3 linked regions of the Drosophila melanogaster genome follow. The protein of the gene in region 1 purifies or fractionates together with the protein of each later gene. This does not show direct contact. Each region holds a gene or a part of one and is shown on either strand. Other genes may lie near its edges.

Region 1 (3,753 bases):
CTCAAAGTTGATGGTTAGATCCGCCAGTAGCTGAGCGGTGGAGTTGTCCTTGGGCGTGGAGCTGTTGTCGGCGGAGGTGCTGTTGCCGGCGGAGGTACTGTTGCTGTCGTTATTGTTGTGCTCCACGGCAGAGGTGGAGGCTGCCGCAGTATCCGTCGAGGGATTTGGTGAAGTGGTGCTGTGTGGAGTCGGGGCTGTGCTCAGCCCCATTGGTTCATTGCTGGCTTTAGCGTTGCCCGACTTTCGCTTGTTATTGATTGCTAGCGAGGATCGCTGCTGTTGTAGATGCGGGGAAGCGGTAACTGAGGCCGCTGCCGCTGATGAGCGGGTAATCCGCGTGGTGGCCGTGGCCGGCGTGGGTGTTGCCGGCTTCTTGACCAAGCCAACTGCACATCCAACTCCTCCGCTTTCCGAGGAGCTGCGGGCCGAGGGCGAGGCGGTGCTGGTTAGCTTCTCCTTTGGACTTAGTGGCTCGGCTGTGAGCGCTGGGGCCATCGTTCTGATGCTAATACGTTGGCCGGCTGCTGCGGCATTTGGTTCGTTCGACTCCTAAGGCGTCTCTTTATGCTAATCCTGTCGAGAATTTTCCAAAAACGGGCTATTATTTTTCGGCAATTCAGCGTTAGGACGACAAAATAAAGGCATACTATTCGGTCCGAGACTACTGCGTTATCATATAAAAGAACAATATTGGTGTATTTATTTTTTATCTCGTTTAAACCGCCCGCCTCCGTAAGATTTCAAAATTTGGAATGGTTTTTTTTTTTTGTCTTTTCCGGCGTGTTATGTACATATGCTACATATGCGTACACAACACACACACAGCGTCGCTTTGGCCAACAAGAGAACCCATGAGAGCGAGAGAGAGGTCAGAAAGCGCGCTATTGCACACCATGATGCGCAATAAAAAAAACTGTATAGAACACACACACACAAACATATGCAGGGACTGACAGACTACTTTACATACTGACGAAATCATTGCGGTTACTTTCGAAAATTACAATTTTCCAAGATTGGGCATCTTCTGCCGGCGGGAAACTGCCGATCATGCCACCATGTTTTTATGTAATTCCGTTTATTGAGTTTTTCCACTACAATTAGCCTAGGCAAACGGAAACTCGCGCCTTTACACACACACACGCACATGCTAGCACACACACACGTGCAACTGTATGCGCCACTATATTCAGTTATTTACACAATCTCATTTATTGTATTCCACATGTCTCGATCAATTCTGCAGTAAAAATCAGTTATATGTGCTTTGTGTCCTATCTATATTCGCCCAGATTCCAGCGAAAGGGCAGTGGAAAAAGGTTTTCAGCGCGAAAGTAATCGTACTCACTAACACATGCAAGCAAGAACACACCGACAGCAGGCAGGCAGCACGCAAGAATTTGTAAATTGCTTAAAAATTAAGTAGTATTTTTTTTCATTATACGCACAATTCGGCCGTTCCGAAAAATTGCCCGTAGCACAATTGGCAAATATTTTTTGCAAACACAATGGCGTGACTCGCACTGTAGGAATTACGGTTTTCGCTTCACGGACTTTTTTCCTCATTTATTTTTTTCATCGCTTAGACTGCTCTGCTACGCTTTTGGCAAAACGACGTGTATCGAAGCTGTACTCGTTTCTGTGCCAGACCAAAGTGCGCTGTCGCCCAGCTGGTTGTCTCGCTCTTGCACGTGCGCCGCCTATGGCGGTGGCGCGGCCCACTGTTGTGTGTGCGAGCGAGATGACCAGTGTCTATGGCAGGGAGCTGCAAACTATCGGCTGTGATAGCAATATATCGAGTAGATACTGGAGTGGTGCGCACTTTCGACTAGCGACTATCGATTCTCGGAATAATTTTCCGCCTTGTTTTAAATAATTTATTATTTATTTATTGTTGTACTTCAGTACTGGGTTCAGTTTTGCGAAACGTAATATTTCTTATGTTCATACTATCGAATGTTATCGACTCAGTCGATAGCAATGCAGATATGCCTGCTTACGCAAGTTGCAGCCCTGGTAATTTATTTAGACTTTGTTTCGGAATTGGATGGACAACGAAAGAGCTAATAATTCGTTTTTAATGTTTTATGTCAAAGGAAGTGAACGTATAGTCCTCGATTTCCTGGATTTGCGAAAATTCAGCCTTTGAGACCTTAGCGTTGGGAATTCGGTTGTTCTCCAGCCAATGTTTCCTTCAAATTAGTGGGCGATGGTTAAATGATTGAATTAGTGGAGTGCAGCGGTACCTACATTTCCATTAAATTCATCATAGGAGCCTCCAGTTGTCCCTTGACGGTCCCATCCCGGGTATTCATGCACCAGCCCCTAACTCCCAATCTTTTAGCCTCATGCGACGTGTGCTAAGCCAAAAATGTACATAAGTTAAATGTTGATTTCCAGATATATATATAGGCCTCCCAGTACTTACTTTGCGGAAGAACACACCTGCAAAATTTAATACGCTGTTTAACAAGCCGAATCAGAAAAATGCATTGCATACCTTGCACTCGTCCAAAGATCTCGAAATCGAGGGCAAATATCTGCTTGGCAACTCCAGATCCCGCCATTATGTAGTCGTGATCAGATTTCTGATGCCACTTAGATTCCTTGCAGCACTCAAATTTCTAAATAGAGCTAGCAAAAACTGAATGTTGACAACCAAAATAGAATTATTATTAAATTGTAACATAGTTATCGTAGCCAGGGCGACAACGCAAAACCAGGGGCGTTCAGTAGAAAATACCGTGAGGTCAGTATTTAGACAGTACACACACCTCTTGTGAACAACAATATACTGTAGGTCATCAAGCTCATCTCTAGCTAATGTTTACCGTTGCTTTTCAACGCAGGACGCACTTGGTAAAAGTTTAGGTAAACTAAACAAAACGTTTGTAATGTACAATATATATTTATTTCTTTTATAAATTAGTTGCGCTAATACAACTGCTTAGCTGGCAAAATGACGGGCGCCAAGAAAAGATCGGGAGCACCGTTAGTGGATGCAGCTCACTCGAAAGCCCCAAAACCAGGTACAGTTGCCCAAGAAAAAAACAGCCAAATTCCAACTGTTTGGAAAAAGGATCATGTAAAAACTCAACTTTTCGAAAGATCAAACGAAAAGCCATCCAAAAAAAGAACTCCGCTAGTGGCTCCTAGAGTTCAGCAATCAAAAATTGAAGCGCAAACTTCTCAGGCTGTGGAAAAAACACAGGAAGACCAAACTTTTGCAGCCACCATAGACAGTTCAACAAAAAGTCTAAAAAAGTCTCCCAAAAACGAGGGAGAATTATGGGCAGATATTCAGAAGCTGTCGCCCCACACGGGAATAATAATTCATAGCTTCATAAAGCAGTACAACGAATCGCTAAATAATCTCAAGAAGAAAGACTTGGTGGTCAGCAAGAAAATGAGAGCCATCGCCATGGACTCGCTGAAGAAAAAATCGGAAAATATCAGCTTGAAGGAAAAGTAAGACCTTCCTTCTTCAATACAGTTCCTGCCTGCAGTGAGCTTATTCTTTCAGGTTGACAAATATGGAACTGGAGCTGACCCAACTGAAAACTGATCTTATCGAGCAGCAGGAGAAGAACGCAGAGAACATCCAGAAGTACACGGAAATCAACAAAAAGTACACCCACTGCGAGCAACATTACGACAAGGAGCTGGAAATCATTAAAGTATGTGTTGAGAAGAAAAATTCAGAGCTCCGAGATGCTCAATCCCGGATGGCCCTGCAGGCGCAAGAGGTGAGTT
Region 2 (3,753 bases), on another chromosome or scaffold:
GGAACTGAGGAAGGCGTTGGTGTACTCGGCTTGGACTTGGGTCTTTCGTTTTCTGTATCCTTTAGTTGATTGGCTAACGTAGGCAGCTTACCGGTTGGTGATTCTGTTGATTTAAATATAGTTTAATAACAAGTGTGACTTTTATTTAGAATGTTTTGTATTACTTCTGGTAGGGGAGACGCTCGTGTTGTTGTTGTTGCTATTTGATGTGTTGTTATTGTTTGGATTGACCACAGTCTTTGTTATTCGCACAGGCATGTCCTGGAGTTGTCCGTGTGCAATTTTGCCGAATGACTGTATGGTCTTCCCAGCCACAATCCACGGCTCGCGGACGCTATCGTCTAGTTTTACCCAATGCTGGTACAAGGCCCACGAGCTGCCGGACGCGTCCTTGCGCGAGTGCAGCTGAGTAGCTTTCCATAGCGTAAAAGCCCAGATGGTGGGCTTGGGATCGAGCGATTCCTTCAAATTTGCATTTTCCTTTTCGCAGGCGTCCTCTTTGTGGGCCTGAAACTCTTCCACGAAGTTGTAGGCCCGGAGACATCGTCCACATACAAGAACGTCCATGTTTGCCAATTCCTCCTGTGCAGCTGCAGGGCAGAACACAAAATTAACAATAAAAATTATTTACCAATGTTTTTAGTCACTCACCTCTTATAATGTTTGCGTGTTTGCCGATTTCCGTAGGTGAAATCTCCTGTGCCAACATTATTCACGACTCCAGCGCCCAAGCCTTTGAAGAGAGCATTTAAAGTGTGACTTAAAAATAGTGCTGAATGGAGTCTTATTATTTGTTATTGCTTGGTTTTGAAATATTGGTAAACGGCGAAGAAAAAGTACAGTGCCGTGGTGTGTTTGTGCTAACTTGAACCAGGTGGCAACGCGAACGGTCGCTGTCTGCGGTGTGTGTCCGATATGGTGAGTTCAAGCATATGTACATCTGCAATGGGCAAAATGCAGCGGCGCTTAGGCAGCCGAAAAAAAACACTAAGTACATTATGAAAAGAACGAGCCTGCCGCACTGTTGTAGATATATAATATAATAAAACACAGAAAAGCACGAACTATGCGTAATGCGACTTTATTAGTTACTTAAACTTATCTGTTACAAATGCATTTGAACTTCAACACAGCTAAAAATTAAAATAAATAAAACCCTATGGTTCGATCCTATTTGTTTTCATTTAAAAAAAAGGATTACATATAGTTTAAATAATATCAAAGTTCACAATTTCATTTTGCCCGCTAAACCTTGCAGGCACTAGATATAGGCCAGGTATGATTGCAAATAAGCCTATTCCACATATCATTAAATTAAAAGATTTCTCTAGAACACTTTGGTACACACCTTCATAAACAATTTTGGATAAATATCAAACTGAATGTTGTTTCAAACGGTTATTTTAATTTAACTGACTCCCGATTTTTCAACACGAGCAGCTCCACTGCTGCTCACAGTTGTACGCGCGAACTCTGAATGCCAAAAGCGAAATTCGGCTGCACGGAAATTGTCCAGAGATGATTTGGTTCCGGCTGTGCGGACCTTAGAATGCTCTTCTGTGCTAAGCTATTTAAATCCTAATATTACTGGGAGTGTATTGCCTGTCGATAGCTTTAAACTAACTGCAGTCCAGTAAATTTTAAGATTTCGAAGGTTTTTTCGAATATAGTATATGATATAAAACGCGGGTTTCAATGCTTGCACGGTTTTAAGTGCCCAAACTTAGGGTGTAGCGCCCTTTTCAGTTCGCCCGTGTGGCGGTGCACTTAGTTAGCCAATTACGCGTCGTGGTGGGTATATTTATTGATGTGGCAACTTTGGGCGCAATAATAATAATATTGTACTTTTTTTGTTCATATTAGGTAAGAAATTCGAAATTATTTTTTATTATTTCATTTTATTATGTCATTCTTTTGTAGATATTTATTGATATAAATACTTACCCAGGGTTGCCACCCAGTGTATTGTATTTAACGTAGGCCCTGTGTGTACACACTGTTACATTAGCCGGCGCATTTTATTTAGCGTTAATTGCTTTTCTTTCTTGATTTGACTTGGTAGTGCATCAGGACTGCAAGTATGGCCGACGATGAGCAAGAGGACCAGAAGGAGTACCGCTGGGAAACGGGCTATGAAAAGACATGGTGCGATGGTGTGCGTGACAATGTAAGCCCGCACTTACTTTTAATCCTATTAGGGAGGCCATCAAGGACGACGAGGATGGGATGCTGGATGGAGCCATTGCAGAGATCATTCAGAAGGCCAAACGCCAGAGGCAGGCTCAAAAGTCCAAGCAGAACCGCCTGGGCATGATGCGCCACATGTTCGTTGTGCTCGATTGCTCTGAGTCCATGAGCGTGCCTGATTTGAAACCCACACGACTGCGGTGCACCGTCAAGCTGCTGGAGCTGTTTATCGAGGAGTTCTTCGATCAGAACCCCATCAGCCAATTAGGACTCATAGCGCTAAAAGCTAAGCGAGCGGAGAAGGTGACCGAACTTACCGGCACTTCGCGCGTGCACCTCAAAGCGCTAGAGAGGTAAGAACCGAATCAAACCAGCGTTCTCCATTTATATCCCCTTTTTGTTTAGCTTGGCTAACGTGTCCTTGACCAGCGAGCCTTCGCTGCAAAATGGCCTAGATCTGGCCCTAAAATCGCTTAAGGTGGTGCCGTCGCACGCCTCCCGAGAGATCGTCATTATCATGGGCTCGCTCACCACATGTGATCCTGTCGATATTAACCTCACCATCGACGAGTTAAAAAAGGAGGGCATACGCTGCTCGGTTATTTCCCTGTCCGCTGAGATTCACGTGGCCCGCTACCTCACTCAGCAAACAATGGGCACCTTCGGGGCTGTTTTGGATGATGCACATTTTCGGGATCAACTCATGTCTCAGGTAGATCCACCGCCCGCCGCTAAGACTCAGCACAACTCGCTTATTCGCATGGGCTTCCCGCACACAAAGAATGAAGTTGAGGGCAAGGACGCGCCATTGTCCATGTGCATGTGCCACATAGAGAACTTGGAGGAGCCCAGTGAACTGACCACTACTGGCCACCACTGCCCGCAATGCAACAGCAAGTACTGCGAGCTGCCCGTGGAGTGCCAGTCTTGCGGCCTCACCCTGGTCTCCGCGCCGCACTTGGCGCGTTCCTACCACCACCTTTTCCCGGTGCCAAATTTTGAGGAACTGCCGTTTGAGGCGATGCCTGCTTCGTCATCCGACCTCACCAGCGATGTCAGGGAATGTTACGGCTGCGCCAAAGCTCTTGGGCAAGGCGTTGACAAGGTCGCCGATAAAGTCGTCTTCAGATGCGGTTTCTGCAAGCAGTTCTTCTGCGTTGACTGCGACATCTTCATTCACGACACATTGCACGCCTGCGTGGGATGCAACACCATTCCCGGCGTAGACGGTCTGGTTTACCAGCAAAGTTCCAAGTCTGACCAGGTTGATGCACACCCAGGGCCCTCAAAGCAGCGCGGCCAGTGTGGGATGTAACTGACTTTCTATAGATAGATATTTCGAACTTCCACATAACTACGCATTTGGGGCAAACAAAATACAGTTCGTTTCGAAACGGTGGTTATGAGTTGTATCAATTAAAATCTGGTTTTATGCTTAATAATTGTGAAGGCGAGCGTAGCATTATTATGGCCGTTGTGTGAGACCCTCTCAATTGTATTGCTAATTACTTGGTCATAGGCTCTCTGTGCCGCTTCATGCGAACTTGGCGCACTTTTGTCTAGAGC
Region 3 (3,753 bases), about 14 Mb from region 1:
ATTAAGCTTGTTCACGCCAGCGAAATACCCAGTTCAAGTCAAGCGGCCCGTTTTGTTCATCAAGTAAGTAAGAGCTTTTCCTGTTTGTACAAAGACAATACAGTTTATGAAATAAATAAACGATTGAAGGAACGAATTTGGATTGTTTTTAAATTCCGCCCTGGTTTGCGCCACCGCTGATTGTCTATCATGGGTTGCAACCACGTGGAACTACAGTTATTTTTAGGCCTTTTTTCGCGCTTCGATGGTAAACACATTTTGTTTATTGCTTAGCTCTGAGAAACCAAGACGCAATAATTGACAAAATGTCCAGTATTTGGACAAAAAGGAAGGACTCTTTCTGCAATAACGAAAATATAAGGGCTCAGAAGTTCGAGGATGTGATTGTAATCGATGACAATGGTAAGTCGTGTGTTGTCAGCCTTCTCGATGCTAACTGCTACACTTGGTCCTTCAAGATCGTGGCGACTCTCTCCGGAGTGTAAAATCCGAGCCCCCTGAAGAAAAGCCCCGCTTATCTCCACAGGACGCTAATCAAAAACGTGCAGTAAAGGAGGAGAAGGAAATGTCCAGGCGCGCACGCGCTCGAGCCAAGAAAATACGGAATACAGAGGCAAGAGCAGCGAAATCGGTGGTTACCAGGGGTGCGGGTAAAAAAGCAAGGAAGCGTAAGAAGCAAAATAAAGCGGCACTCAAGAAGGCTAGTGAACTTGAACCCAAAAAGGCAAAGGGCTCCAAGGAGGCTAGTGCCCACAAGAAGGCAAAGGGACCCAAGAATACAAGTCCTCCTATGGCTGCGAAGCCCAATTTGGCAAAGAGTGACAACCTGACGATGGCCCTGGTGGACGAGCTCCACGAAGACGGCCGTCTGCTTAACGAAAGGTGGCAGGAGGTCGAGGCCCAGCTGGCGTACATGGTGACTGACAGAGTCATGGCCATGCCGGGGGGTCCCGTCCCGTCCTTCGATAGCTCAGACGTAGTTCGTGGCCACCGAGTGATCCGGTGCGAAGACGGATTTTCAAAGGTATTCCTGTCGGACTGTGTTGCCGCGATTAGCAACTCGTGGCATGACATGCGCATCAAGCTCGTCCATGTCAGCGATGTACCATTTGCGCCTCAGGCGCGCATCTGGTTGCCCACGGGTCAAACGGACCACAACCGGATCATGATCTGCTTGAGAGCCCAGAACCTAAATGTGGACATGTCGGACTGGTCCATCCTCAGGGCGGAGGAAGTCATGGAGATCAGTCAGAGTTTCCTGCTCCTTATCAACCGGAGGTGCATCCCGCAACTGGATGCAGTGGACTACAAGTTGCGCTATGGCATACGAATGGCCCAGATCCAGCTCATTTTAAGCGAAGCAGACGATTTGCCATCGGAGTTCGACAACTACCACCCATTTTGCCATTTTCCCCATTAAACCATAAATCCTCAGGCTCTAAGCTATGTTTATTAGAGTAATAATATTGTTAGAGAAAGAAACGAATTTCATAACCTAATAAATCTCCAATTGGTTTTAGATGCCAACTTAGACAGCATTTTTATCAAATTTAACCTTAATCTTAAGATATTTTTAAATATAGAAACTCAACATGGGAGGTGGGATACCCTCTTTTGGTTCATGGCGATGCTGACTGGTTGGCAAGCGTGACAACGTGTGGGGTATTTATGCTCTACTTTGCTGTGGTCACACTGTTTCCACAGCATTTTATTTCATTTCGCTTCGTCTGAAAAATCAGAGAACAATTTCTAAAAAGCGGCAAAAATCTTGAAAGGACGATGTCCAGCTTTTCGCCAAACCAATTGCGGCAGTGCGCCCGCTTCACCGGCACGCCCTGCACTCCGGACAAGGAGCACCAGCTGCGGGAGCAGATCCACAGCGAGCTGGTCAAGATTAAGTACTGCGCCAATCCCACCTACGAGTGCAGCCTGATGCGGATCGAGGGCTACGAGTATTGCATCCGACACATCCTGCGCGACCCGCGCTCCAACTTCCGACAGTGCTCGCACGTCTACTCGAACGGCAGGAAGTGCATCAACGCGGTGGCCAAGTATGACAACAAGAAGGAGCTGATCCTGACGACCCTCTGCTTCGAGCACAACCGGCAGACGCAGCTGCAGAAGACGCACATGAATGTGGGCCGCATTCGCAGCCGGGTGGAGACCAACGAGACCCTGCTGCACAGCCTCTCATCGCACATTAATGTGGAGGACATAAAGCCAGAGGTGAAAAAGATCGAACGCGATGATGATGAAATCGATGTGGTCTCACCCCACGTGACGCCATTTGGTATGTCTTGCTGACTATAAACCGAGCTGAAATCTAATTTTCCTCACTTCTAGTCACTCAGGATCACCGCAATTCCATAGGACATGTTGTGGAGAGCTCTCGCAAGCGACGTCGCATTTTGGATTATGCTTCCGATAGTTCCAGCAACGATGCAGATCCGCCCTGTCTCAGGAACACCGCCCAGGACATTGAGTTTTACGAATCTGACCATGAGAGTATCGATTCGGAGGATGATGATCCTTTGAAGTAAGATTTGATTTATTCGTAGCACTATTTTTTAAGGAAATTTTAATTTTTTCTTCTCCCTTGTAGACACGCTGGCGTCTTTACACGCGCAGAGGCAGTAAAGATTGCCGAAACGAAGCTGATCAAGCTTCAGGGTCTTTACCGCGAGCAGATTTCATATCTGCAGAACGTGCTGAGGCAGCGACGTCGCAAGTATTTGCACGATATACGACGCGAGCGAGAGCTATATTGTAAGTTTCACTTGCCTTTAGGTATGCAGGATAATGTGTCTTATGCCACACTTTCAGGCAGCATTCACGATCAGCTAAAGGACACGCCACACGAGCGAAAGCTGTACGAGCAGCTAAAGGCGCTGAATAGCTATCATCGACGCCAGGGCGTCGAGGCGGTGCTCTACAAGAAACTGAAGGAGAAGCGAGCTCGCGACGCCTTGTACGCAGCCAAGTCGTCGAGCAACCCGAAGTGCGTCTTCACCGAAGGCGGTGTCAAGTGTGGTGAGCGAACGCTGCCCTGCTGCAAGCACTGCCGCAAGCACATTCTGGAGGATAAGCGCCAGGTGCTGTTCCGAGCCTGCGGCGTGGAGCGGAGTGGGGTGGTCTGCCAGGAGCCAGTGGCTAGCATTCTCGAAGACTCCAGTTGCGTACTGCACCTGACCGTGGCGCCGGCTAAGCGCCAGTATATACAAAAGGTGCGTTGATCAAACACTAACCCAACCCACGCCATAACCACCACAAGTAACTGCTTATATATTCCAACTGTCCACTCACCCATTGCCATAAGTTGTGTTGCACATGACTGCTGAAACTATAGTAAGCCAACTGTAAGACAGTTCGAACAAACAATACTGCGTAACTAGTATTTAGGCTTGATTTGTAGTAAAGCTAAGTATATCTAGAGAAACAACACGAAACACATGTATATAAGTGCTAGTACTGTCTAAGCAAGCCCTTTGTGATCGACCCTGAATAAATTGCCGACCTCTCATCCCCCAGTTTTATGAAGTTCCCAGCACTCCGCCGGTAGAAAGTATTTTCGCAGCAGGCCGTGGTCTCGATAACTTTGTCGGAGAAGACCCACGGAATGAGCCGCAGCCGGAGGGGGATGACCTCTTGGATTTTGCCAATGGTATATTCGATTTTGACCTTGACGGAGTTGACGATCTGGCAAACTCCCTCGACGATGATTACTCCATGTTCCTGGACATGGACAGTGACCTG

Evidence for each region.
Region 2: the proteins of nsl1 (region 1) and Chro purify together in Drosophila melanogaster (affinity purification with western blotting; 2 studies listed by BioGRID, with this or other methods). This does not show direct contact.
Region 3: the proteins of nsl1 (region 1) and dgt1 purify together in Drosophila melanogaster (affinity purification with western blotting; 3 studies listed by BioGRID, with this or other methods). This does not show direct contact.

What each region holds. Positions count from the first base shown.
Region 1 is NT_033777.3:15,791,649-15,795,401, reverse strand, and holds the start of nsl1 (non-specific lethal 1), read right to left. Parts: upstream 1,621-3,753; 5' UTR 1,349-1,620; exon of another isoform or gene 1,202-1,348; intron 574-1,201; 5' UTR 496-573; coding exon 1-495. Other genes in the region: Acyp2 (acylphosphatase 2), read right to left, coding at 2,078-2,192, 2,251-2,360, 2,429-2,445, 2,501-2,567; c(3)G (crossover suppressor on 3 of gowen), read left to right, coding at 2,960-3,468, 3,524-3,746.
Region 2 is NT_037436.4:22,877,286-22,881,038, forward strand, and holds the start of Chro (chromator), read right to left. Parts: upstream 1,700-3,753; 5' UTR 1,349-1,699; intron 941-1,348; exon of another isoform or gene 734-940; 5' UTR 710-733; coding exon 652-709; intron 591-651; coding exon 165-590; intron 104-164; coding exon 1-103. Other genes in the region: Ssl1 (suppressor of stem-loop mutation), read left to right, coding at 2,081-2,145, 2,199-2,540, 2,593-3,502.
Region 3 is NT_033777.3:29,855,424-29,859,176, reverse strand, and holds the start of dgt1 (dim gamma-tubulin 1), read left to right. Parts: upstream 1-1,685; 5' UTR 1,686-1,779; coding exon 1,780-2,290; intron 2,291-2,343; coding exon 2,344-2,536; intron 2,537-2,602; coding exon 2,603-2,766; intron 2,767-2,823; coding exon 2,824-3,224; coding exon of another isoform or gene 3,225-3,233; exon of another isoform or gene 3,234-3,528; coding exon 3,529-3,753. Other genes in the region: CG7824 (uncharacterized protein), read left to right, coding at 306-402, 459-1,420.